Linked DNA regions of Xenopus tropicalis. The protein of the gene in region 1 interacts with the protein of each later gene in a pairwise test. Links are inferred from orthologs where the notes say so. Each region holds a gene or a part of one and is shown in the gene's direction. Other genes may lie near its edges.

Region 1 (3,657 bases):
CAAACTGGAATATATATATCAGTAAATATTGCCCTTTTACATCCCTTCCCTTGAGCCGCCATTTAGTGATGGGCTCTGTGCCTAGCATGTACTGTATGTGTGCTATGGCTTGTTTGTGTGCACTGCAGGCGGCCCTTAATTTTTAAGGCAATTTTAATGCCAATTTTTTATTTAGGATTACCCGATAGCACATACTACAATCCATTTCATTTCAAGCAACTTTCCAATATATATTTAATTACAAGTTCCAGTGCTTTATTACATGTGCATGTAAATTTCTGTTCTTTGTACAAGTCCCATTGACTTCTATAGAAACTGGCAAGCTTTTAAATGGTGAATTTGTACATTCAAGTTTTTGGGTTTTTAAATAGCAGACATTCCTGAAACAGAATTCCAATGTAAGTTTTTTTTTTAGTGCAAAAAAAACTTGAATCGCGAGAAAAATCAAACTCACACTTTAATAAATCTCCCCCTTACATTTGCAAAGCATTTTTCACACACAAGGTAGCAATGACAAGAAAATATTATACCCCATTTTTAAAATTGAGGTATGCCTGCCACTTGCTATACAATGCAACTGGGGGACCAAGGCATCACATATTGCTTGGACATCTGTATCTAATATTGCTGCGACCACTGTGCTGTGTGATGGATTACTGGGCCAATTCTAAGGTTAATGCCACATGGGGTGGATTTCAGCACCAAAATGCATACTCATGATAGGGCTGATGTGAGTGAAGGGGCTTATTCTCAGCGTGCATTGATACACAGACCGAGAATCAGCCCTGTGTGGCATTAGCCTTACAGAACTATTATATGTTGGGTGGTGCTGATGCTTTGTTTCTGGGAGTATTTAAATTTACTTTGCAAGCCGGAAAAGCAGGCATGAAACTTAATGCTGAAAGTCATGCGTGGATTCAACAGTGGTGCTCTGTTCTGGCCTCGGATTGCCCTTTAAAATGGGATGTGTTTAATACTGCCCGGCATGATACAAAAGTTTGATGCCCATATTAATAGGTGGAAAAATAACAGGTATAGAAAGGCTGGTATTATTCTCTAGAAATGGTGGCAATAAAAGTTGGGTGTAACTTTAAAAAGCATGGCATGGTCACAATTAGCTGCATTCTCCTGGGCATCCATGTCCTGAGATACAGCCAAGGAGCTAGTTTCACTTAATACGCCCCTGCTGCCAGGACGCCTTTGTGGTTGTGATGTCATAGTTTCAAAAATATCTAGGGTAGCAACTGCATTTTTGCCCCAAATCTCACTCTGCCAGTTTGGCTGGGATTCTGACTAGTGTTTGAGCTATGCCGTACATATTGTAAACTGACTTAGTATCTGTGTAGTTTTGATTTGTAATGGTTTGTACTCCCTCTCACTCAATTTTTAGCAGCATTTAAGGTCGTAACTAATGAGCTTTCTATTGTGACATTTATATTCTATATACAAAGTATATTATGTGTTGGTCCCTAAGCTCAGTAAGTGACAGCGGCACAGAGCATGTGCAGGGAATCAGCAGAAAAGAAGATGGGGGGGCTACTGGGGCATCTTCGGAGGCACAGATCTTCCCTGCTAAAGGGCTGGGGTTGCCTTGGGCTGGTACAGAAGCCCAAAACATAATGTACAACATTTATACCCTACTTTTTAGTTAAGCTTTTGTTCTCCCTTTCCCTGATGGAATGGAGTATTTACAATTGTTTGTAGGGGTAGGCAAGACAAGCCACGTTACTAGAAAGCTTGATGTCTCTTTACCTAAAGAGAGCACAATTCTATCATATTTGACTGCAAATATTTCCTTATAATGGGCAATACAACTTTAGGAGGTTAAATTGTAGGCTTATTAGACATCACAATGTTTTGGCACTTCCTTTCTCAGCTTGTGGCAGCCAGCAAGGGATATTTCTTGGTGTGGGTTTAGCACTACATATCTGCAGAACAAGCCCTCAACAAGTGCACTGGTGGTGACATGAAGGACCTGTGTAATACAAAAGATGTGCAACTGCATTTGACTGACCTTGTGTATTTGTCTTTCTTTTTCTTACAGCAATGGCTACAGCAAAGAGAAATCCAGTAACTGAGCTAAAGGAAGAACTGACGTGCCCTATTTGCCTGGATCACTTTAGTGAACCTGTTTCTATTGAATGTGGGCACAGTTTTTGCCGAGCCTGCATTACCCGTACCTGGAGAGGAATTCACAGCAACTTTGAATGTCCCCAGTGCAGAAACATATCCAGATGGAAATTTTTACGGCCTAATCGTCTTGTGGAGAATATGGTGGAAATAACTGGACGACTTGCTGCTACCAAAATGTCTCCAGTTAGTAAGAAGCAATGTGAAAAGCACCAGGAACCAATGAAACTCTTTTGTCAAGTGGATGCAAAGGAAATTTGTTTGGTGTGCCGAGAGTCAGTGGAACATAGGACCCATACTGTGATACCAGTGGAGGAGTCAACTAGAGAGTTTAAGGTGACAAAACAATAACAATTTGTGTTTTAGAGCCCAACGTTTGCTGCAAAGATTGTGGTACAGATATTACTGTTTGTGATAGGTCAGTTTTTCATAATCATTGGAATAACTAGATGTTCTTACCATAGCAGTCTGGCTGTAATTTAATCTGATTTAAGCCTGAATTGGAGCCTGATCAGAAAGATCAGTAAGATTAACAATAATAATGCTAAAAATATGCCCTTTAGAATGAATCTTTCTGGTTGCCAGGCTTCACCGATCCCAGCTAACAAATAGTGTTATATACAAAGTTTTCTACAGCAGATAAAAGCAAAACTGGTGTGTGTATTCTCGTCTGCCACAGTTATAATGTATGGCTCGCTAAATATATATACTTACTCTTCTGCTACTCAGATGATCACACTGATTGAGTTCATTTTGGACAATATTTAATACTAGTAAATGAAGCCTCTGATTGCTTCTTGTGCCCAGTGCCTTGATATAACACTAACTGAAGGAAATATGATTGTATTTAGGTTCAGCTCAGAGATCGCCTTCACACATTAAGAAGAGAATGTGCAGCTATCTTGGAAACAAAGTCTGAAGACAAGCAAAAAGTTGAAAAACTTAAGGTAGCTTTGTGAGACACTTGAATATATTCCTTGGAAAAAGTTCATTCATATGGTTGGGAATACCCCTGAACTGTCTAATGCAGTGATCCCCAACCAGGGGTTTTTGAGCAACATCTTGCTCACCACCCCCTCTGATGTTGGTCCCAGAGGCCTCAAAGTAGGTGCCCGTTTTTAAATTTCTGGCTTGGATGCAAGTTTTGGAAGCACAGAGACACAAGGTTACTCCTGTTTAGCCTTCTGCAGTCCACAGTTAGGTCCATAAATATTTGGACAGAGACAACTTTTTTCTAATTTTGGTTCTGTACATTACCACAATGAATTGTAAATGAAACAACTCAGATACAGTTGAAGTGCAGACTTTCATCTTTAATTCGGTGGGGTAAACAGTGGGGATTTTAACACGATCCCTTAATTTCAAGGGCTCAAAATTAATTGGACAATTGACCCAAAGGCTATTTCATGGGCAGGTGTTGGCAAGTCCGTTGTTATGTCATTATCAATTAAGCAGATAAAAGGCCTGGAGTTGATTTGAGGTGTGGTGCTTGCATGTGGAAGGAGCTCTGCATGCAGGTGAAAGAAG
Region 2 (3,657 bases), on another chromosome or scaffold:
AAAGAGAGGATGAATGGGGCCATGTATTGTGAGATTTTGAGCAACAACCTCCTTCCCTCAGTCAGAGCATTGAAGATGGGTCGTGGCTGGGTCTTCCAACATGACAATGACCCAAAGCACACAGCCAGGGTAACCAAGGTGTGGCTCCGTAAGAGGCATATCAAGTTTCTGGAGTGGCCTAGCCAATCTCCAGACCTAAATCCAATAGAAAATCTTTGGAGGGAGCTCAAACTCTGTGTTGCTCAGCGACAGGCCCGAAACCTGACAGATCTAGAGGAGATCTGTGTGGAGGAGTGGGCCAAAGTCCCTGTTGCAGTGTGTGCAAGCCTGGTCAAGAACTACAGGAAACGTTTGACCTTTGTAATTGCAAACAAAGGCTTCTGTACCAAATATTAACACTGATTTTCTCAGGTGTTCAAATACTTATGTGCAGAAGTGCAATACAAATACATTCTTTAAAGGACAAGGAAAGGCTAAGTCACTTGGGGGTGCCAAAATGTTAGGCACCCCCAAGTGACTTTAATCGCTTACCTTGTACCCCGGGCTGGTGCCCCTGTTAGGAGAAAATTTTACCAGCCCGGGGTACCTGTAGCGAGTGCTTCCTCCTTCCGTATTCGCGCTGCCGGCAAATTCCCAGGACAATCACATGTGCAGTAGAGTGCAAAGCCGACTTTATAGCTTTTTCACTTTACTGCGCATGCGCGCAAATTCCCAGGACAATCACATGTGCAGTAGAGTGAAAAGCCGACTTTATAGCTTTTTCACTTTACTGCGCATGCGCACGAGTGAAGCAAGAAGCGCTCGCAGCTACCCCGGGTTGATGCTATTCTCTCAGAACAGGGGCACCAGCCCGGGGTAAAAGGTAGGCAATTTAAGTCACTTGGGGGTGCCTAACATTTTGGCACCCCCAAGTGACTTAGCCTTTCCTTCTCCTTTAAAAATCATACAATGTGATTTCCTGAATTTTTTTTTAAATGCTGTCTCTCACAGTGGGAATGCACCTACAATGTGAATTTCAAACCCCTCCATGATTTCTAAGTGGGAGAACTTGCAAAATCGCAGAGTGTTCAAATACTTACAGTATGTTCCTCACTTACAATATATTAATTTATCTGAAAGTAAACACTTCCTATGTGTTTTGTAACTTAAATTAAGTGAGGTAGATCCAAAATATGGATGAATGGAATATATGGTATTATATTGTTGATATACTGTGATTCTTTTTTTGAACAATGTTTGTGATGTTTTGTAGTATTGTTTTCATGTTTGAAGTGGATTGTCCAGGCTGTTGATGTCATGTCTATCTTCACATGACATTTTTTTCACAATACATGATTTATAGGAATCTTTTGTGTTGTGTGTTTTTTGCTGGTCATCCAGCCAAGATGTCAGTCAATTTAAAAAACTTATATACAGTACATATATACTTAAAGGAGAAAGAAAGGCTAAGTCACTTGGTGGTGCCAAAATGTTAGGCACCTCCCAGTGACTTTAATCGCTTACCTTTTACTCTGGGCTGGTGCTCCTGTGAGAAGAAAACTGCACCAGCCTGGGGAAGCTGTGAGCTAGTGTCCCCTCTTACTTTCCTGCCTTTCCACGCTTGCATATGCGCAGTAGAGTGAAAAGGAAGAGGAAACACACACTGCAGGTACCCCGGGCTGGTGTGGTTTTCTCCTAACAGGAGCACCAGCCTGGGGTAAAAGGAAAGCGATTAAAGTCACTGGGGGGTGCCTAACATTTGGCACCCTCCAGTGATTTTTACCCTCCTTTAATATTACATATTTGTCACAACTAGCCACCGGAGAGGGCATGAATAGAGAAATAATAATAAAGATGAAATAGTGACCCATGTTAAATATGAATGCAGGAAAGAGGCAGAAAAAGACAAATAAAGGTGTAATTCACCTTCAGGTCAACTTTAAGTATGCTACAGAATGCCATATTCTTACCAACTTTTCAATTTTCAATTTATTACATTACTTGCCTTACTCTTCTAAAACTATTGGTCTGTGAGGCTACAATTTAATTGTTATTGTTACTTTCTAACACTTATCTTTCTATTTAGGTCCTCCTCTATTTGTATTTCTGTCTCTCTTTTAAACCACTGCCTGGAGAGCTATTAAACAAAAAGCTAAATAATTCAAAAACTGCAAATAAAAAATGAAAAGCAATAGCAAACTGTCTCAAAATAGCACTCGCAATATCATACTAAAAGTTAACCAGTTTAAAAAGAAAAAAAAATTGAGAACAATTGAAAAGTTACTAAGAATCAGACATTCTATAACATCTCAAAAGTTGATACAAAGTAAAACTACCATTTTAAATAGACAGATTATGAAAAATTAGTTCTGCTGCTTGATCCATTTATACTTGTAGATGTTTATAAGACTTGTAGATGTTTATAAGACATGCAGACAAAAAAAAGATTGTTTTAAATGACTCTGTAAAACATTTTTTGTGGGGAAGGAAAGCTTTGAAGTTATATTTAGATAATGAGCTTTATAACATGCCATAAACAGGTAGGAAATAAGGGGGACAATTGTGCTACCTTTGCCTAGCGTGCACAAAGAATATGGATAATACATTTTTCAAAAAATTCTTCCTGCAGGGAAAATGTGGCTAAAGTTACAAAAGAACAAGTTAAACCACGTAAACCTCCCACAGGGGAGGCACAGATAGCAGCGGCTTCTGCTGCAATGGCGAGAATGGAATCGTTGCAGGGGCGGACCAAGGTGCAGTCCAAGGATACAACAACAGGTGAGAAGGAAGAGGTTAAAGGGAAAATTATTGGCTATAATTCTAGGGGGAGGTGGTGAAACTAAGGCTTATAAAACTGCACCTTTGCCTTTTTATTTTTTTTCATTTTACTTTTTTTTTTTTTTTCTTTTCCCTACTGTTTATTTTGACAGCGTGACTATTGGATCAGATATTCTGACCACTAATTACGCTGTTGTGACTTATTTTGTTGTTTCACTAATTTGCACAATTTTTGTGGTTTTATTGCATTTTTTTTTATCCCTGTATTAGTGTTCCTGATCTGTTTTTAGCATAGCTTTGCCATGTGTAACTTTGGTGTAGAAAAATAACTACCTATTTTGAACTCATCAGAATGTGTAATTTCAAAAAATACCGTATATACTCGAGTATAAGCCGATCCGAATATAAGCCGAGGTACCTAATTTTACCTAAGAAAACTGGAAAAACTTATTGACTCGAGTATAAGCCTAGGGTGGGAAATGCAGCAGCTACTGCTAAGTTTTAATAATCAAAATAAATACCAATAAAATTACATTAATTGAGGCATCAGTGGGGTATATGTTTTTCAATATTTATTTCAAAGAAAAACAGTAAACTAGCTCTGTAAGCGGAGAAGAGGGTCAACAAAAACAATATGAGTACTACCCCACGCTCATTGCACATTGGCAAACTGGCAGCAGACCCGGTCCCAGAGGAGATGTAAGGGGAAATAAGTATTGCTAGTGGGAGCCTAGGCCAGGACACTGGAGGGTCTGGTTGCGGGTGGCCTAATTTGCACACAAAGGAGAGAGGGTGCTAGTCTAGAGGGACCCATGGCACCCGAGTATAAGCCGAGGGTGACTTTTTTTCAGCACATTTTGGGTGCTGAAAAACTAGGCTTATACTCGAGTATATACAGTA

What was found. The genes of interacting proteins can lie anywhere in the genome.
Region 2: the proteins of E3 ubiquitin-protein ligase TRIM39 (region 1) and ubxn6 interact in binary tests that used the Homo sapiens proteins (3 or more experiments, as listed by UniProt). The link is inferred for Xenopus tropicalis from reciprocal best matches to the Homo sapiens genes TRIM39 and UBXN6.

Annotation. Positions count from the first base shown.
Region 1 is NC_030678.2:143,275,925-143,279,581, forward strand, and holds part of E3 ubiquitin-protein ligase TRIM39, read left to right. Parts: intron 1-2,044; coding exon 2,045-2,466; intron 2,467-2,981; coding exon 2,982-3,077; intron 3,078-3,657.
Region 2 is NC_030677.2:93,773,623-93,777,279, forward strand, and holds part of ubxn6 (UBX domain-containing protein 6), read left to right. Parts: intron 1-2,608; coding exon 2,609-2,757; intron 2,758-3,657. UniProt on the Homo sapiens protein: May negatively regulate the ATPase activity of VCP, an ATP-driven segregase that associates with different cofactors to control a wide variety of cellular processes.